5 linked regions of the Neurospora crassa OR74A genome follow. The protein of the gene in region 2 interacts with the protein of the main gene of each other region in a biochemical or structural test. Links are inferred from orthologs where the notes say so. Each region holds a gene or a part of one and is shown on either strand. Other genes may lie near its edges.

The links.
Region 1: the proteins of rbg-40 (region 2) and NCU07956 are reported together in a solved structure, tested with the Saccharomyces cerevisiae proteins (2 studies listed by BioGRID, with this or other methods). The link is inferred for Neurospora crassa OR74A from reciprocal best matches to the Saccharomyces cerevisiae genes RIO2 and PNO1.
Region 3: the proteins of rbg-40 (region 2) and NCU08968 are reported together in a solved structure, tested with the Saccharomyces cerevisiae proteins (2 studies listed by BioGRID, with this or other methods). The link is inferred for Neurospora crassa OR74A from reciprocal best matches to the Saccharomyces cerevisiae genes RIO2 and DIM1.
Region 4: the proteins of rbg-40 (region 2) and NCU01503 are reported together in a solved structure, tested with the Saccharomyces cerevisiae proteins (2 studies listed by BioGRID, with this or other methods). The link is inferred for Neurospora crassa OR74A from reciprocal best matches to the Saccharomyces cerevisiae genes RIO2 and TSR1.
Region 5: the proteins of rbg-40 (region 2) and NCU08323 are reported together in a solved structure, tested with the Saccharomyces cerevisiae proteins (2 studies listed by BioGRID, with this or other methods). The link is inferred for Neurospora crassa OR74A from reciprocal best matches to the Saccharomyces cerevisiae genes RIO2 and ENP1.

What each region holds. Positions count from the first base shown.
Region 1 is NC_026504.1:1,226,295-1,229,816, forward strand, and holds NCU07956 (pre-rRNA-processing protein PNO1), read right to left. Parts: upstream 2,271-3,522; 5' UTR 2,020-2,270; coding exon 1,724-2,019; intron 1,656-1,723; coding exon 1,348-1,655; intron 1,285-1,347; coding exon 1,115-1,284; 3' UTR 511-1,114; downstream 1-510. Other genes in the region: NCU07957 (hypothetical protein), read left to right, coding at 1-14; pod-1 (mitochondrion biogenesis protein), read left to right, coding at 2,699-3,522. UniProt on the Saccharomyces cerevisiae protein: Required for small ribosomal subunit (SSU) synthesis. Has a role in the processing of early nucleolar and late cytoplasmic pre-RNA species. Recruits DIM1 to nucleolar pre-RNAs.
Region 2 is NC_026504.1:2,085,397-2,088,998, forward strand, and holds rbg-40 (serine/threonine-protein kinase RIO2), read right to left. Parts: upstream 2,209-3,602; 5' UTR 2,045-2,208; coding exon 761-2,044; 3' UTR 513-760; downstream 1-512. Other genes in the region: NCU07723 (norsolorinic acid reductase), read left to right, coding at 1-470; rpn-1 (26S proteasome regulatory subunit rpn1), read left to right, coding at 2,888-3,017, 3,090-3,160, 3,227-3,602. UniProt on the Saccharomyces cerevisiae protein: Required for the final endonucleolytic cleavage of 20S pre-rRNA at site D in the cytoplasm, converting it into the mature 18S rRNA. Involved in normal export of the pre-40S particles from the nucleus to the cytoplasm.
Region 3 is NC_026505.1:5,864,573-5,868,302, forward strand, and holds NCU08968 (dimethyladenosine transferase), read left to right. Parts: upstream 1-1,449; 5' UTR 1,450-1,697; coding exon 1,698-2,486; intron 2,487-2,544; coding exon 2,545-2,920; intron 2,921-2,982; coding exon 2,983-3,014; 3' UTR 3,015-3,220; downstream 3,221-3,730. Other genes in the region: NCU08967 (arrestin domain-containing protein), read right to left, coding at 1-884; NCU08969 (hypothetical protein), read right to left, coding at 3,574-3,730. UniProt on the Saccharomyces cerevisiae protein: Specifically dimethylates two adjacent adenosines in the loop of a conserved hairpin near the 3'-end of 18S rRNA in the 40S particle.
Region 4 is NC_026502.1:3,251,159-3,255,306, forward strand, and holds the start of NCU01503 (pre-rRNA processing protein Tsr1), read right to left. Parts: upstream 2,807-4,148; 5' UTR 2,613-2,806; coding exon 2,504-2,612; intron 2,337-2,503; coding exon 1-2,336. Other genes in the region: NCU01502 (small nucleolar ribonucleoprotein complex subunit), read left to right, coding at 3,123-3,431, 3,497-4,148.
Region 5 is NC_026504.1:2,401,673-2,405,904, reverse strand, and holds NCU08323 (bystin), read right to left. Parts: upstream 2,734-4,232; 5' UTR 2,570-2,733; coding exon 1,950-2,569; intron 1,889-1,949; coding exon 1,760-1,888; intron 1,697-1,759; coding exon 1,524-1,696; intron 1,456-1,523; coding exon 1,237-1,455; intron 1,183-1,236; coding exon 1,042-1,182; intron 966-1,041; coding exon 805-965; 3' UTR 506-804; downstream 1-505. Other genes in the region: NCU16789 (hypothetical protein), read right to left, coding at 287-362; NCU08324 (DNA-binding protein HGH1), read left to right, coding at 3,093-3,113, 3,184-3,333, 3,402-3,515, 3,589-4,232. UniProt on the Saccharomyces cerevisiae protein: Required for normal export of the pre-40S particles from the nucleus to the cytoplasm.

The sequences.
Region 1 (3,522 bases), about 860 kb from region 2:
TCTACATCAAGTAGTGTATGACCTGGAGAATAAACATGGAGACTGGGTTTTGGGAGACGTTATTCGCACATTTCTTTAGCTGTTATGGGGTTGGAGTTTACCGGGCTTATTCGTCAGGCCTACGAAATCGGCGGTGACTAGTGGATTATTGTTTTTGCTTAAAGTTGTGACAGATGATTACGGAGTTTGGAGTGTTGCAAGTCCTTCCAGGACACGGTTCATGGTGCGGAGGTGGTACCCTAGCTCTTCAGAAGATACCCATACGTATATCACTTTTTGCTACGTCTTGCCTTCACTTTATTTCAACAAGCTTGATGAGTCATGGGAGTTGGTCAGTCAGAGCACAAAAAGAGCCTCCTCGGGTTAAGATGGTCTCATCCCACCTATCGTAGGTGAATATCGAGGGGTTTGACTATGCTCTATCTGCTATTTCGATATACGGTTCGCCATCTGGACTGTAAAACAAACAAGACCTTTACTTATGCGGAACAAGCGAGATAAGAGAATGGATGGAAATAACTACTACTTGTATGACCTGAAGAAACCAATCTATCGTGGCTCACCTGGCTACATTGGTGCCCATCACATCAGCTCCTTACATTTTGCTTGATTTGCCGTCACCATGGAATTGAACCTCAACCAAATGAGCGCACTGGATCAGTTTCCCACATCACTTTCTCTGCACAATAATCGACCTTGCCAGCCAATATGCACTAAACCGCCTTTTGGTGAATATCTCTGTTCATTGTCTTCTCTTCTCGTCCTCCGGGTATAGATCATAACCACACATTGAAAGATTCGCAAGGCGGTAGCTCCCCAATATCCCGTCCTCTTCCTCCCGCTTCTACACACCTTCGTAGATATCCCCAGCATGACTGACTGAATCGCCCATTTCAAACTCTCCAAACTCAAAGCAAAAGCATAATGAACTCCTAAACGCCAGAACCCTTTTTAAGCGTAGCTCCCGAAATGCCACCTTCGCCCCTTATGTGATGAAAACCGTCGATTTTTTGTTGACTGAACCATGCAGCCCCGTGCGTGAACCATTCATTAGGTGAGAATAGCGGCAATAGAAGTGTAACACATTGTTGCCGTTTTTCGTGAAAGAAAGAGCTTAGAATCTCTCCTTTTGCCTCGAGGCAATGATCCGGAGGTTGTTGTACACCTTGCCGGGCTGGTGTCCGAGAATGAGGGAGACGACGGACTCGCGGGCCATGCCAATGTTCTCGAAGGCACCGAGGATATGAACGCGGGAGCCGGCGAGGACGATTCTGGTTTTTGTGGCTTTTCACATCTTGTCAGTACTTCTGCGTCATCTCTTCCATTCTCCCATAATGGTGAACGTACCATTCTCAATCGCAAACTTGGTCTTTCCGTCCTTGCCTGCAATACGACCAATCGCACGTCCCAGAGCATCGGGGCCAAGGGTCTGACGGACATCCTTGACATCGAAGGACTGGATATAGAGCGAATCGAGACGGAGCAGGGCAATGGCGTCGTCAATGTCGAAGCCCATGGCGAAGGCGGAGACGAAATCGGCACCCATCTGCAGGGATTCGGGGGTGGTGGTGTGTCTGCTGGAGCGGAGCTCGACGCGCTTCTCCTTGATGTTCATGCGGACCTGGAGCTTGCAGTGCTCTACAAGTGGGGGGTAGCTGATTGGAAAACAGTCAGTCTTCCTTGCCCAAACATTCACACATGTTTCCGTAGTTTTCCGTCTCACATCTTGGTCCAATTGGCCTTGAGGGCCGACATGCGGTTTGGCGGGATACCAATTTTCCTGGTCTCTGCGCGGCGAATGATCTGGACGTCCTGGCCGGGGGCGAAACGGGGGCGGCCCTCCTCGTCTACAGCCATCTGCACATCTTGGTCATTGGAAGGGGGAGCGGCGGCGCTGGGATCGGTGAGGTTGACGGCCTCGTTGACATCGAGAATGAGCTCGTCCTCTTGCTCGGTCTGGATAGGAATCTGGGCGGCGGGAGCCTTGACAGGCTGACGAAGTGCTGTTGGCGCAGGCATGTTGGGCGAGATGTGTTGTTTATCGGTGGGTGATGGTCAAGGGGCCGAGTCGGGTTGTTTGTTGATTAAAGTCGGTAGTATTTTGGGAAATCGCCGGCCAAGAGTAATGGCAGATTTTTCGAAAATCGGGTGGAGGAGAGACTGGTGACGGGCGACGAAAGAAGTGTCGGGATGCTGGGTTACAGTCGTGAATTGCGGAGATCTGGGAGTCGAAGTTCTGCCTTTTTGCGCCGTCGGTCTCTAGAATTTTGATGTTTATCGATTTTGATAGCGCAGAGGGGAAATTCTTGACAAAAAGCAGTGGATCCACAAAAGAGTACCCAAGTGAAGCTTATCGATTGGCTGCATGGGGGCTAGGACCCTTGCCAATCGCAACGCCCATGCACTAACAGTTACCGAGGAATCCCTGTAATCCCAAGGTTAGCGTCATTGACGCACTTTTGACGGGGACCTGGACCGGCAGCTTTTTCAAACTCCAGGTTCTTGGTCAGAGCAGGAGCACCATCATATGTCATTCTAGACTCGGCCCACCACCAAGCAACAACATCTGATTTTCAGCCTCGAGGACCGACCATGGATACGGCACCGAGCTGTCGTCATCACCATCGTCGCTGAAAACATAGGAAAAAAAAAAGGAACAGGTCGGTCCCTTACTCGGTCGACAGTATGAATTTCAACAATGTCTACTAGCGCTACGACGACCCAGCTGGGCCGCCAGCTATGGTCTTCAGTACGAGATCTTCACACCACCTCGAATCTCTTCACAGCCGCGATACTGCTTCCAACTTGTCAGCCATTACTGAGTCGTCAAAGTCTTGGACTTGGCCCCTCGACATCGCTGGGGTCCCATCAGCGATACGGACAGCAGCAGAGCACGCGACAATTTACCTCTTCCGCAAGTCGCTTTTTCTTCCCAGCAACAAAATCGCAAAGACTACACTATCAACAGTCACAACCATCCCATAATGTCCTACGAAGCTGTACCTCCGGAGGCCTACTCCTCCTTGGGCTCACCACCAGCCCCTCTCCAACGAGCACGGTAGAGGCATCCGCACTATCCGGCAATGCCGCGCAAAAGGCAAAAATGGGCCACTTGGCTCGGCAGGCTTTACTCTTGCGAAGGATACGACAGAACACCACGACCACAACGTTATGCAAGACAGGAAAGCGATTCCAAAGTTCGGGCAAAGAGACCAAGGGTGATCATGACGAGACCAAGGCCGAAGCCAAGTCTTCTACAATTTCTCCTCAGCAAAAGTCCGAGCAACCACAGCAGCCACCGAATACCGAGACGGCTTCCGGTTCTGGTTCCCAGCCGACTCCCGCACATGAATCAATAGCAGATTCCATGTCTAAATACCTTCACCTTCCTCACCTCCCCCATTTGCCTCATCGGCCCACAAAAGAAGAGCTTCTGGCGGCAGCAAGCGGGTTCTGGTCGCGTCTCAAGGTCCGATTCAAGTGGTTCTCCATCAGGAGCATGCGCCCCTGGAACGCCGACGA
Region 2 (3,602 bases):
ACGAAGGCATGGGGCTCGCGCCCTGGGGGGCCCTCGGGGGCGGCAGCTTCAAATCGGAGGAGCAGCGCCAGCAGCAAGCCAACGAAGGCCGCAAGATCAAGGCGACCGAGGAGCAGATCAAAATCAGCCGGGCTCTGGAGAAGATTGCGCAGCGTAAGAACACAGCCATCACCTCCGTCGCCCTGGCGTACGTGATGCACAAGGCTCCGTACGTGTTCCCGATTGTTGGCGGCCGGTCGGTCGAGCACCTGAAGGGTAACATTGAGGCGCTCACGCTGGCGTTGTCGGACAAGGATATCGACGAGATTGAGAGCGCGGTTCCGTTCGATATTGGGTTTCCTAGCTCATTCTTGTATGGAGAGAAGGTTCCTGCGCACCCCAGTCAGGTTTGGTTGATGGGTATGGCGGGCACATATGATTATGTCCCGGTGCCGAAGCCTATCGTGCCAGCGGCGGAAAATGGTCAGTAGAGCCGACATCGCCGCCAGAGGTCTTTGAAGGTTAGGTGGGAGCAGAAGCTAAAGTATTAGTACGTTTCAATGTGATTCAAGTTGGGCTTTATTCGATTGTGACGTGTGTCAAACTGCTTTTGCGGAGGGTGTCATAATCAACATATGGGTTGCAAAAAAACTGATAAGCGTAAAGTCTTAAAAACCTGCTTGGCACGTCTTAGTACAAATTTGCTTGATAGAAATGCATAGGATTTGGGGGTATCTCAAAGCTGACATGAAACGCGTTTCTTTTCTCCTCTCGATGTGCTTCAAGCCCTTCGCTTGCCGCCCTTGCCGCCAAGTGATAACTTTTCCAGCCCCTTCTCTGCATCTGACAAAGGCCTTCCAACATTTGCCGGAATCTCGAACACGGCGTGTTCCTCTTCCTCTTGTTGATCTTCCTCATCTTCCTCATCATCTGTATCGCTTCCACTATCATCCTCCTCATCCTCGTCCTCGTCCTCGTCGAGTTCTTCTTCCTCCACAGCCTCACCCGCATCAATCTTCGCCTGTTGTTCCTGAATAGCCTTCTCCAGTTCCTTGAGCATCTTCTTGGTAAATCCTGAAGCCTCCACAGTGGCGTCCAACCGCTTAGCTCCATCCTTGCCAACCGTCTTCTTAGCATCCTTGAAGAAAGGACCGGGTTGTGTGGGCACAAAGTGGAAGCGCTTCTTGAAGAACCTCTTGATGCATTCGACATCGCGGTCAAAGTACATCTCGGCGTTTACGTGGTCCATAGACACCATTTGTGGGAAGTCGATAATGACTGGGACAAGGGTTACCGTCTCCGTCTCCTTCTCCTCGCCGTCCTCGATCGTGTACTTGGTGGTCCGCTCCTCTTTGATCAAAATGTTGAACTCGTTGAAATCACCATGGATGAGCCCGTGCTTGGCCAATCGAAGGATGAGGTCGATAAGCTCAGCGTAGAGGCTCGCGGGGTCTGGAACCGAGGAGACCTGTCTAAGTGGTAGGGACTCGACCAGGCTCATGACGATAGTGTGTCGGGACTGGGAAATCGGTTCGGGAACGGGAAAGCCTTCTTCTTGGAGAGCCTGCATGAAGGCATATTCCTTCATGGCCGCAAGCCGCGAGAGATACATCCATGAGCCGCCTTGCCGGTTGCGCAAGTAGTCGCGGTTGGACTTGACGGTACGGAAGGAAATGCGGCCTAGGCGATGGATCTTGAGAATCTTCTGCTTGCCGGTCTTGTCGGCTACGATCATGATGTCGGATTCCTTGCCAACACCCACACGACTGCCAACGCTGTAGACGACATCTTTCGAGGAGTGGGTGTGTAGGGCCAGATAGTCAAGACCGCCGTAGGTCAGTCGGTAGCCGTCGTACTTGGCCTCCTTCATGCGTCCGATGAGGCCAGACTTGGCAAGGGTCGCTATGCTCTTGTGAACACCACTGGCACCGCCCTTGAGACGGGCAATTCTCTCGATCAGAGGGGTCGGGACGAGCTCGTGGTTCTTGCTGCCCATCTCAACGGCAGTCAAGACTCTCCAGTCTTCTGCCGTGAGATGGCGTAAAACTCTGGTGTCCAAAAACATGATTGTGTGTTTCTTTTTGGATGTTTTTTGTTTTTTCCCCTCAGGTGATTGTCGGCCTAATTGCTGTGAGAGATTTTCTGATGTTGTATTGATCCAAGAGAGCTATTAGGTTGCTGTCTACGACGCTCTCGTCAAAGTCAAAGTCAAGGTGGGTGAAGCGCAAAGCTGATGTCCAGAATGGAAAGTGGGCGTCCCCCAAATTCCAAATGCACGGTTGCGATAACATCTTCCCGATAAGATAGGGCTGGCCGTGGGCTCCATTCGCTGAGCTGTGCCTGCCCGGTCAAGCGCCAGGTCCAGGCCAGTAGCTTATCTTATCAGAAGCTTGGGGGGAGCGGAATTTGTATCTTCCAGGCTCTGATGACGCCTCGTCCCCACCGAGGCTTCCAGACCCACTTGAGGCGGGCAGCATTGGATCGCAGGGGCGTTCTCAGCCAGACGGGGGAGCTTCAGGCGGCAAGCGAGTCGCGTAACCACCATCGGAGCTCCCTGGCGTTAGTACCGTAACTGCCACTGACCTTTGCTGGCTTTCAGCAACTGAGGTGCTTCTGGGCGAACCTGCAAAAGCTCCAACCTCCAAAACCGTCACCTGAACAACATAACAACCTCCAAACAACCGCAGCCAGCTCATCCACTTTTGATTTTGACATTCTGCTCACGACTGGAGCTCAAGTTCCTGTCGCTCAAGCAAACTCGGTGACAAAACTTGAACATTTCTTGCAGCAGCGAACGCCACCGCCGCGTCCACCTACCCCGGCCAGCCCAACCGACCTTGGTTTCCCCTCCAACTGGACCCATCGGCTCCGCGAATCCTCCCACCTACAACCATCACGGCCAGTAATCATGGCGCAAGAAAGCGACCTGTCCAAGACGGCCGATAAGGGCAAGGGAAAGGCCGTCGATGACGAGAAGAAGCACCAAGATGTCGATGGAAAGACCCCCGCAAACGGAAAGAAGGAGGAGGAACAGAATGGTGGGTTTCTCGGCCACTCCGACCGACTTGAGGTATCGGCGCCGGGCTTCTGCTGACAGCGCTTTGCGTTAGCTTCCGAGGAACTCAGTGAAGAGGATCAGCAGCTCAAGAGCGAGCTTGAGATGCTCGTTGAGCGGCTAACGGTTGGTGCTTCGCAATGACGTGATACAGGCTGAAGACCGGCTTCTCTAACAGTACAATGTCTTCAGGAATCCGATGCGACCCTCTACAAGCCGGCCCTCGAGGCCATGAAGAACTCTATCAAGACATCCACATCCTCCATGACGGCGGTACCGAAGCCGCTCAAGTTCCTGCGCCCGCATTATGAAACCATGACGAAACTCTACGACGAGTGGCCCGCTGGCGATGATAAGTCATCTCTCGCAGATGTTCTATCGGTGATCGGTATGACATACTCGGACGAGGACCGCCAGGATACTCTGAAATACAGACTTCTTTCCCCAACACAGGACATTGGCTCGTGGGGTCATGAGTACGTTCGCCATCTCGCCCTCGAGATTGGCGAGGTCTACGCCAAGCGCATAGCCAATGATGAGCCGACTCAAGAGCTGGTCGATCTTGCCC
Region 3 (3,730 bases), on a different chromosome or scaffold from region 2:
ATGATGGCAGGGTGTGGAAGTCGAGCCGACATCTCTATCGACGGAGGCACTTCGGGCTCCGTTGCAAGTTTTCCATCAGCCGTTGTTGTTGTTGTTGTTGGGGCTGAAGATGACCCTGCATTGCTACTCCCAGTCCACCCGCTGAAGAAAGAAGCTCGTTTCTTGGAAGACGCGTTTGTCCTTGGGCTTCGTGGACGGAATGCAAAGGGTCGTCTGGCATAGGCTTCGTGGTTCGTCTTGGGCGGCCTTGGAGGCTCAATAGGAAGGAATTTCAAGCCGGTCTGCATCCTCCAGTTCTCCTTGAAAAAGCCCGGTCTCTGAATGGTAACCTTGACATAGTATCGAATCTCGCACTGGCCTGGGAATCCGGTGAAACTGGGTGGGAGCGTCTTTGTGACATGGGAGTACATCAGCTGCTTGGTGCCGTCCATAACACGAATGCCACCGAGACCGAACAAGCCAGAACCCGACGCGATTCCACCGGCACCAGAAAGGCCTCCTAGTTTGGCCATGGCGACAGGATCACCACAAGCATTGTTGAAGGGAAACTTGAACTGGAAGGGGAATCTGTGTTGACCAGCGGCTAGGACATAGGGCTGTGGCAAGGCGTTGGTCTTCTCGTCGGGAAAGGCCTGGGTGACTTTGTATAGGATCTTGTGGTTCTCGTAGATAACATCGCCGGTTGGAGTGCGCTCCCTCTGAGCAATGCCGGTCCCTGAGCCATCGGCGGGTACTCCCAAGGCCGACTTGGCTTCACCCTCGAGTTTGACGATGATGCCTCCGATCTGTTCGGGACGACTGAGAGTGAGGACGACCTGGCCGCGGATAATATCCAGGTTTGTGTAGAACTCGGGAGGGTTTTCGAGGGCGATCCGTATCGACATGGTTGCGATTGATTATCGTCAACTTCAACAGAGAAATGAGGCTATCACCACATGAACCAAAACAACAAGGAATAACCAGTGGGTCACACGCCCAGGTATGAGCCAAGGAGAAGATGATGGAAAAGAATCTGTTATTTTTTTTTTACAATCCGATTTCCTCGAACCTTGGGAGGGGGTTGGTATTATAGGTAGGTAGATGAAAATTCAAAGCCACTGCCTGTCTGCTTCGATGTGATCAGCTTCACACGGCAGTTAGGTGATGACGGGGAAGACCCTCACTGAAAGACCGGAGGATTTGCCGTTTAAGTGCTGGGTAGCAATTTGAACCCGCCGCACATGTTTAGGGCGGCCTCCGCTGTTACGTCAGACGGGGAATCATCGGTCGGAAGTGGCCGAGGTGCCTGGATTCCACTGATGTTTCCAGTGGGCTGGGCCGCCGCCGCCGCCCGCATGGTGTCTCAATGGGGAAAGCGGTCAGCCTTTTGCTTATCTTATCAGCCACATGTCTGGCGGGGCATCTTTTTTTCTGCCGCCTGATCCACTCAAAAAAAAGATGTCGGCCGGGGTCCGGCGCAGGCACAAGGAAGCTCTCTTCAGCCTGCGGTACCTCTGTCCGTCTCACAATAGAGGTACATACTACAGCCATTGCGCGACTGCCGTGACTTGAGAACGAACCGCCCAAGTCTCGACCCGGACAGAGATCGACCGAAACGACGAAACCCTCCATCGATCCCCCAACCTTCTCGTCCGACCTCGATTCCGAGTCGTCTTCCTCCACACACCTACCCACGACAGCATTGACTAGACTACACCATGCCCAAGGCAGCGAAGGCGTCCAAGAAGTCGGGGGGCGGCGGCAACCCCTACGATCGCAAGGGGGGCGGCGGCGGCGGCAAGGCTACCAACACCAACATCTTCAAGTTCGACAAGGACTTTGGCCAGCATATCCTCAAGAACCCCGGTATCTCGGATGCCATTGTCGACAAGGCCTTCCTCAAGCCCACCGATGTCGTCGTCGAAGTCGGTCCCGGTACCGGCAACATCACGGTCCGCGCCCTTGAAAAGGCAAAGAAGGTCATCGCCATCGAGCTCGATCCTCGTATGGGTGCCGAAGTTACCAAGCGTGTCCAGGGCACTCCGCTAGCCAAGAAGCTCGAGGTCATTCTCGGCGATGTCATCAAGATGCCCGAAATGCCTCCATGCGACGCTCTCATCTCCAACACTCCCTACCAAATTTCCAGTCCGCTCATCTTCAAGATGTTGGCCATGCCCAACCCGCCCCGCGTCGCCGTACTCATGTTTCAAAGAGAATTCGCAAAGAGACTGGTGGCTCGGCCGGGTGATGCTCTCTACTCGAGATTGAGTGTCAATGTCAACTTCTGGGCCACATGCAAGCACATCATGAAGGTCGGCAAGCAGAACTTCAAGCCTCCTCCCAAGGTCGAGTCCGACGTCGTCAGAATTGAGCCCCTTGTTGGTTCGGCGCGCCCCAACATTGCTTTTGAGGAGTTCGACGGTCTCCTTCGCATTGCTTTCAACCGCAAGAACAAGACCCTTTATGCCGGCTTCAACCAGAAGGAGGTCCTCAACATGTGCGAGAGGGTACGTTTCTTCCCATGTGTTCACAAGCTCCAACTCTTACTGACCACTTCGTTTCCAGAACTACAAAGTCTACTGCACCCTCAACAACATCCCCATCGACGAGTCCCTCGCTTCCGCGGCTGACCTTGCTGCCGCCGGCGCCACCAACGATGCCATGGACGTCGAGATGGACGACGACAACGAAGACAATGATAACGAAGAGAACAACGACGATGACGAGGCTATGGAGGAGGATGAGGACGAGGACATGCCCGTCTTCTTCAAGGAGCAAAACGACGCCAACGCTAAGGACGCCAAGACACCTAGCAAGAACCCCAAGTCCAAGGTGGCCTTGATAGTCAAGGCCAAGTTGAACAAGGTGCTTACGAGCACCGGTTTGGCGGACAAGAGAGCTAGGCAGTGCGATCAGAACGATTTCCTCAAGCTGTTGCTTGGTACGTTTTCTTCCCCCTCGGCTTCCCTTTCTGATGGACAACCTCGCTAACACTCCTGACAGCGTTCCACGAGGAGGGTATTCACTTCTCTTAGACGTGTGTTATTATTGCGAACACGCACAGAAATCATCGGCGTACGGGGCGTTTTTTGGGGATTGGGAAAATGTCGTTTTTTAAAAATTCTTTGTTTTGTTCCATTTGTCGTGGAAATACCATTGATCTGGATGCTAGGATTTGCACAATCATAAAAGCCAATGAATCTGGCTGCCACTTTTGCCAGGAATCGAACCATAATCATCTTTCGTTTGGATTGCTTGAGCGTCGGATGTTGTTCTCTTCGTCACGTTGCTCAAACATTGCTGAGAAGCAATTGCTGACAATACCAGACCTACCGCATCGAGATGTCTTTTATAATAAAACCATGGATCGGGGGAGTGGTCAGTGACCTACGGGACCGAGTCCTTGGAGTAACAGGGAAACGGAAAGCACAGGAGAGCAAGCTGTTTTCCTACCCTACCTCTCTCAGTAACAGGCGCCGAGTGCGTCGTTACCAAGCCAGAAAGCGTGGAAGCCTTCTTTCGATAGCTTGTCAGTTGTTCAAAACCATTGAAGAGGGGCAAAGAAAAAGAAGAAGAACAAATGGTGACCGCAACTTATATTTTGGAAAGCACGACACTGGATACTAAAATGTGTCGCCGTTCTTGTCCTTCTCTCCTCCACTCCTCCATTCTTCGACCTCCATCCTCCGCACCCAACACCCATAGCCCAAAAACCACGAAGGTCTCAGCACCCATGCCATCGCCGGCGTCC
Region 4 (4,148 bases), on a different chromosome or scaffold from region 2:
ATCCATAGCGTCCTCATCAACCTCCTGCTGGAGCGCCGCGGCATCCAGCAGAGGCGCACCCAGCTGCTTGGCACTCCGGGGCCACACCCTCTTGTACAAGCTGACGCCCACAGAGTCCTGAGGGTTGATGCGCCCGTCAAAGGTAGCCTTGAAGTAACCGTGGGTACCCAGCGCCTCCTTGATGAAACCGCTCCTGCCACGCCTGGTCCACAGAGGCAGAGCCTTGAACCACTCAACGTCCTCCCTGTTGAAGAACATGTAGCGGATGGTGACAATCTTCTTGTGGATGTGGTACGGGTGACCGGTAAGGATGGCACGCTTGGCGACGACGCGCGATGTCGAGGGGGGCAGGGCAGTGCCGGTGGCGACGAGGCTGAGCGGCAGATTGGAGACGGGCTCGCCATCTTCGTCAAGCACGGAGCCCGGCACTTGCCTCTTGAAGAAGAGGGTGGGTACAGCACCCCATGTGACAGGACCCGTAAAAGTAGCGACAGCCGACTGGCCGGGGTGCAGGTACCGGCAGTACTTGTGGACGTCGTTGGGAGTGTTGCCGCCCTGGGAGAAGAGCGGGTTGATGACGAAGCGGCGGGGACCGCACTGTATGATCAACTCCTCCTTGGCCTTGATGGGTGCGGCAGCGTCCGCGCTCAGGTTGATGAGGAAGTTGACAGCAGTCTTCTTGTACTCGTGCCTGAGCAGGGAGAATAGAGTGACGGGCTGGCTGGGGTTGTAGGATTGCTGGATGGTCGCGGGCACGTCCTTAAGGTAAACGTGGACGCGGGTACCAGGAGCAACACCTCCGACAAGGGCTTCCCTAGACGCCCTGATCTTGGAGGCCTGGTAGTCTTGGATCTTCAACAAGCGCTCCCAATCCTCTGGCTGGTATGCGCGGTCCTCATCCTCCTGCCAAGGGCTTGACCTCAAGCTCTTGAGACCTCTGTACTTGGCTAGACGTTCACGAGCAAGAACGTGGGGGTGGAGCTCGATCTCATCAGGGAACTCGAGGTCATCCTGAGCCTCATCCCGCTTTTGCTTGCGGAAAGCCTCTAGTTGCTTGGCATCCTCATCAGCATCAGGTTGGATGAAGCCGCCCTCAGTTTGTGGGTACTCGGTTTGTCCGGCTTCTGTTGGCGCGTAACCAGCAAGACCCTCCTCGCCATCCTCTGGCCTGGCGGCCTCTTCCTCGTCGTCGTCCTCCATCTCATCGTCCTCTTCCATATCTGAGCCGGAATCAGACACATCGTCGTCTAGGTACCACGCAGCCTGGTACTTTGATGTACCCTTGGGAAGCTTCTTTGGCGCAGTATAAGCCTCGGGCTCCTCCTCTGAGAAGTAATGGTGGTCGTCCAACAAAACACCCTTCTTTGAAGTCGTCATTGTGGTCATTCCGTCGTTCATTTCGTCATCGTCGTCGTCCTCCATGCGAACCTCCTCGGGCGCAAGGTCGACAAGATCATCGCGGTCGTCGGTAGGCTGGTCGAGAATCTCCTCAGCGCCCTCCTCCACGTTCATGCCCTCCTCTCCACGTTTCCTCCTGGCCAAGGGAGCTGCTGTGATCTTCTCAACCTGGAAGGTGCCCCAATCGCCAACCTGCACCAGGCGGTCGGCCTTCAAGCCCTTGCCCCTGACGACACCGGTAAGCACGGTAGACTCACCAAACTTGACCTCCTCCACAAGCATCCAACTCCTCTCGTCTCTCCAGCGAATGCCCTTGGGTGTAGTGCTGCATAGCGAGCGCATGAGGTTGGAGCATTCCTGTCTGTTGTCGAGGCTGAAGACCTTATCCTGTTCGGGGTGGAAGTGGGTGATGTAGGACTTGAGAGACGAAAGAACGGAGAGTCTCTGCTTTTGGGGCTCGATCTTGTTGAGGCCCTGGACGACGGTGAAGAGGGTAGAGAGACCCTGGCTTTCAACGCTGCGCAAGATCAGCTCGCCAAGTTCATCGACCTCTTCCTGCGCGGACAAAACGAGAACGACATAGTCGGCGACTCTGGCAGCGTCCAGGCAGGCGGTAAGGTCGCGCTTGAGGGGGAAGTATTGAAGCTTCTGCTTGAATCTGTCGACGGGAACGCGGAATGCGCCCTCGGGCACCTCGGTCTCGATATCAATGCTGGCGTTCAGGCTCTTGATGGCTTCGGTAGCGTCACCGTCGCTGCACAGGGGGATAACGGCCACGTTTCTGGGGGCACCATCCTTGCCGGCGAAAATGGAGGTCTCCTGGAGATGTTCCTTGTGTTTTTGCAGCTGAAGCTGCTTGTTACGGTTGCGACGGTCGAACTTGGACATGACTTGTTGATGGGGGGTCTTGCGCACACCTCTCTCCTCGGCTACCTTGCCTATAGAATGTTGAAAGTATTAGCGCTGTGTGGACGTTGTCGACCTCTTTATATGCAGCTGTATATTCATGTCTGCTTGGGCTTGGTGCGCCAAAGTTGGGTGAAGTAGAGCATAGTCCAAGGCAACAACCTTGGCATGAGGCACGGCTGTTATATGCAATCCGTACCTTTGGCAGCATTCCGGAGAGCACCCTTGGTAGAATGGCGTGACTTGAAGGGCTTGTTCGACGCCTTGGTCGTCGGCCGATGCGAGTGGCCGCTCACGGCGCCGGGCATATTGCTGGAATCGCCGCCTGCTTTGAACCGAAAAGGGAGCGAGTTTGACGCCAGGATGTTGGACCTGGGGAGGCGATGAAGAGAAGAGGCTGGGGGGTTGGGACTGAAAAGAGATTTCGAGAACCTCTCTGGTCACAATCCGTCTATCGAGTATCGAATAAAGTGATGGGGACAATGTCAATGGCGGGGCACTCGTTGCATTTTTTTGAGTTGTGCGAACATGGGCGGCCGTCTCGCTACTTATCTTATCGGACTCTTGTACGCAGTGGAGCCAATGATCGCTGCGGAACAGCTGCCCCATCCAACTTTTTAGTGGGTCCGGCCCCAAAAAAGTTGTCGAGGAAAGGAAACATTCAAAGTGCCAAAGCGAGGGACAGACACGGGCACACCGAGAAACCGCCAGACCAATTCCATATTCAGCCCCCATCCATATCCCGTCGCCGATCCAACTGTCCTAGTCCACCACACATATTACCCATTCCCATTGTGTCGCGTCGACCCATTGGCACCATGGAGACTACAGACAGGGCCGAAATCTCCCTCTCGAGGGCAGAGCAGCCCAGCGGCGCCGTTGCCATCAACAACGTCCGAAGCGAGTTCCGATCAAAGGCCGAGGCCAACAAGATCCGCAAAGTCAAGGCAGCAGAGAAGTCGTACGGCCGTGGTCGCAAGATCGATGTCAAGAACGTCAAGGACAAAAAGCTCAAGCGCAACCTTACCAACCTCGAAGAAAAGTACCAGACGGCCACGCTAAAGGCCAAGGAGGCCGAAATCCTTCTCGAGAATGCCGGCGGTTTCCTCGAGGCTGAACATGAGCTTGTGAGTAGCCATGGCTTGGGAGTTTATAGCCTCTTGCGCGATACTAACCGCGCTGGTCACGATAGGAACGCACATACAAGGTTCGCCAGGAGGACATCGTCAGCGAAGTCAACATTGAGGTCGCCCAGAAAAAGTTCGACTTGAAGCTCGACCAACTAGGCCCTTACATTTGCGATTTTTCGAGGAATGGCCGGGATCTGATTCTGGCAGGACGAAAGGGCCATGTCGCTACGATGGACTGGAGAGACGGCAAGCTGGGCTGTGAGTTGCAGTTGGGAGAGACCATCAGGGACGTCAAGTGGCTACACAACAACCAATACTTTGCCGTCGCTCAGAAGAAGTACACCTACATCTACGACTCGCAGGGCGTCGAGCTCCACTGCCTAAGGAAACACGTCGAAGTCTCCCACCTCGAATTCCTCCCCTACCACTTCCTGCTGGCCACCCTGGGCACAAACGGCCAGCTCAAGTACCAGGACACATCGACCGGTCAGATCGTCACCGAAATCGCAACGAAGCTGGGCACACCCGTTTCCATGACACAAAACCCCTGGAACGCTATCCTCCATGTTGGTCACCAGAACGGCACAGTAACGCTATGGTCGCCCAACTCGTCAGAACCTCTGGTCAAGCTCCTTGCCCACCGTGGTCCCGTACGATCCATGGCTGTCGACCGCGAAGGCCGCTACATGGTGACAACAGGACAGGACTGCAAGA
Region 5 (4,232 bases), about 320 kb from region 2:
GGTTGAGGTGGTGTCGGGATTCTTAGGCGAAACGCCAGAAAGCAGCGCCGAAAATCCTGATCTTGCGGAAATACTGAGTAGAACTTGGTGTCTCGGGGTAAGAAAGCAATCTCAAGAATAAATAGGGAAACGAGAGGGGCGGAGTGCTTAGAATGTTCGGGTTGACCGGGTGTTAGGAAGAGAACACTAGAAACTCGTATGGTAAAAGCACCTAATACGGGATGATGCCATCAGATACACGAGATATCGAAGTAGGCGAGAGCTACATTGCCTTCTTTCCCTTTACACTGTTCTCTCAGGATTCCGACAACGTGGCAGAGGATCGCGGTTGCCTTGGACTTGGAAAAATGGGAGAAGGGCATTCCAAGCCAGATTGACGCAACAAAGAAGTCAAAAGGCAGCTTCCTTCACATAACTGAAAATGATTATTCCAAGGCTCCTCGACAATTCCTGTTGCTGTACCGGGTATCTTGAATTTATAATTTCGTGCACTAAAGCATTACAGGTCGTCAACAATTATGTTGCTGGTTGGTCAGCACCACTAAGATACAAAGGGTAGTACATGGTGACTGACTTGGCATGACCACTTCCTCTTCAAGCGGCGTGATGAGTAGTAGCCACTGTCGAGGCGTGACATAGTATTATCAAAGGGGTCAATGTCTAAGGACTGCCCCAAGCCACCAAGGTCACTAAACAACACGACTCCCATCTCTATGCGCGTACCAGGTAAAAATGAGCCACATGTCCTCGTTGCATACCAAGGGTTCATCGTCTATAAGTCATTACCGGATCACCGATGTTTCTTCAAGCGTCCAGCATCGTGTCATCGCCATCAAATCCGGGTTGCGCGACAGGGACACCACCTCCGCGACCTGCGAGAAGTTCTCGCCTGATCTCGGGCGAAATCTTGTCATGGCCGTGAGTTAGGAGAAGATCCAGGAGAGCCTCTCGCTGGTCCTCAGTAACTACACAAAGACCGCGGTTAGTACTCAAAAATAATAGGGACGCATAGTGAAACAGCGACGGAAGAAGCAAACTCACTGTTCGTCTTGTATCTCTGTGCAAATGAGAGCATGCACTGATGGAAGATGACTGGTAAAGCGTTGGGTGCCATATGCCCGCCGGTGGCGAAAGCGGGATACCGAAGAAAGTGGAAGACGAGGGCATCGAGCGCTTGGAAGGCTGTATTACAAAGTCAGAGAATACAATCATTGGCACGCTAGGAATTGGACTTACGCAAGGCGTGACGTTTCTCAATCAGAGTCTTGAGGAGGAAATTCGTAGCGCTAACGCAGTCGAGGCGCTGAGAAGCCTGCGCAGAAGAAATTTCGCACAAGCCCTTAATGGCCATACCGGAATGAACAGCCGGAATGGTGACCCGGGTCAAAACACCGGCTACGATCTGCGCCTCACGCAGCGAGCACGTTCCGGAAGCCGCCAAAGGAAACAAGAAGCCTGCCAACGGTTAGCTGGGTTGTCCCTTTTGAGCAAACCTGACTAAGCGTAGGCAGTAAATAACACACCTTTGAAGAAACCACCAGGCTTGTAGAGGGCCTTTTTTAGGGAGTTGAAAAGATGGACATTGAGCTTCTTGGTCTCGTGAATGTCCTCGCGGACGCGTTCTAAGATCACCATCTCCATAAACCGTTGAAGAACAGCCTCCTTGGCGGACGCAAATATCCTGGTGGCCGCGTAGCTAACAATCGCAAATGTCAGCAGCGTTTCTCTGGCTCCCGAAAACAGGAAGAAGCAACCATACCAGGCATTGGGAGTCCAGGACTCGGGTTGTGTAATGGGCAAGATGTCCTCCCAGTGGGGGATCTGAGGAAGGACCTTGAAAGGCTTGGGAAGCGGCCCAGATTTGTAGCGAGAAAGAATCATGCCAATTCTGCGAGAAGGAGTCTGTCAGTAGTCTGCCAAGAGGGTAACAGAAATAACGGCCAGCCTACTTCTCAAACACTTCCATCACCTTTGGGGGGATCTCGTAATCCTCATCAATTGGGCCAGGCTCGTCGCGGTACCCGCCTTGGGGGCCGCCGGCTTCCTTCTCTGCGATCTTGGCAAGAATAAGGTCCGCCAGGTTCACGCTCTGACCCTGCTCTTCTGCCCCTTCTGGCTTTCCATCCCATCCGTGTGTTAGGAGCGGGTCCTCGTTCATTGTGGGTGTGATAAACTGGTTGAATGTCTCGAGATCGGTGGCGTCGACTTCGATTTCCTCTACCTCCTCCTCCTCTTCCTCGCCCCAGGCCTCGTCGTTCTCAAACTTGTCGTCTTCGTCATCGTTGCGGTCGAATCTCGATGGATCGAACTCGAACGCCGAAGGAGCAGATCCGGAGGCTGCGTTTTGTGTTGTCCGGAGGTTCTCCTCCTCCTCGATGAGGCTACGGCTCATAGCCAAAATGTTGCGCGAAGCCTTGGCGTCGACATACTTTTGCTCATCTTCGTCGTTGGCGGCGCGAGTGTTCTTGCTCTTTTTGCCGGAGTTGTTCTTAAGGACGCCGGTAGAAACGAGGTCGGCCTCGAGGGGGTTGTGGCGCCTCTTCGACGTCGCCGCTGTTGTCTTGGGCATCTTGAATGGCGGTAGGGTTGTGCAATCGGGGGAAGAGTTGATGATACGGAGCTCTCCTGGTTGTCCCCTCTCTTTGCGATGTCGACTTGGCTGCACACGGCAATTGGGGATATTTTTTTCGGCGACCCTTGGACAATTTGTTCCCGCCGTGGAGAAGTCTGGGCACTTGAAAGGCTTGCGCTACGCTTGTGGTTGGTCACTTCTTTGCTGTGTGGGCACACTTTATTTTCTGATGCCAGGGCGGTGAAAATGATAAGCGGTACAATACCTCTTATCGCTTATCGTCTAGCTTGGACGCGCCCGGCGGAGCAGCGATAAACATTTTATTGCCCCGCATTTTCGTCACTGTGCCCCTCTTCGGTTGCAAATTCCTGGAATTTTGTTCCCTGTGTTTACAGTTTTTGCAGCTTGGCCCACTGCATGAATAAGAGCAAGGGAAGTCGCGACATCATAGCCTCGCTCGCCACGGTTACGAGCTTATAGCAAGTCCAATACAACCATACATCCAGCTACCATTGATAACATGCCGACCGAACTTGAAGAGGTAATTCTGCCAGAACCAGTGCAGTGTCAATGTCAGTGGACAGACAACTAATCGCTATAATCGCCTGAAGCTCGTGGGCTTCATTGCCTCGCCGAACGCCAACATCCGCCTTCTCGCGACAGAGAACCTGGTGCCCTTCTCAGCGTCTCAGCCCGCCCTCTTCAAGACCGACGAGCTCACCCCCATCAAGCATCTCAAGTTCTTGATCCGCGACCACCCGGTAGGCCCAACAGACTTGTCTTGTTTGCGCCCAAGCAGCTTCAGCTAAGACGTCGGTACCATGTGCAGAAAATCGCCGAGCACGCCCTAACATGCTTGATCAACTTGACTGCCGAGAAGGATGTGCTGGAATACGTCGCGACCGATGATCGCTTCCTTGGAATCCTCCTCGGGCTTCTTGTCGTATGTGTATCCATTCTGAGCTCCTACGGTGCGTGCGCAGCAAGGACTAACCGCTTCGATCCCGTTCCTATAGGAGCCCGAGGAGGTTAACGCCAATCTTATGGCTATGTTGCTGGCAAACTTGACCAAGTGGGATGGACTCAAAAGTCTTCTAGACCGGAAACAGCCCGCTCCAGAGAAGCTCAAGTCCGACGATAGGGTCATTAACCAACTAATGGACCTCTTCGTCAAGGGCGCCGACGGGACTTACAACAAGCACGCCGATTACGACTACCTCTCCTACGTCTTTGCCGACCTTTCGAAACATGAAGAGATCCGGCACTACTTTGTCAACAGACAGGACTACGACGATGTTATTCCAATCAACAAGATCAAGGTCTTTACCGAACACAAGTCCGATATCAGGCGAAAGGGAGTGGCGAGCATTATCAAGAACGCTGCTTTTGACATTCCTTCGCACCCGGCGTTTTTGGATGAGGATGACGTCAATATCTTACCCTACATTTTACTTCCTATCATGGGCGGCGAAGTTTATCCCGAGGATGAGGCATTGGAAATGCTTACCGATCTTCAGCTATTGCCTCCAGACAAGCAGCGCGATCCCGACAGCAGCAACATCCTGACACACCTAGAAACTCTTACTCTCCTCACCACAACGAGAGCTGGCCGCGATTTGATGAGGAGCATCAGTGTTTACCCCATTGTTCGGGAAACCCA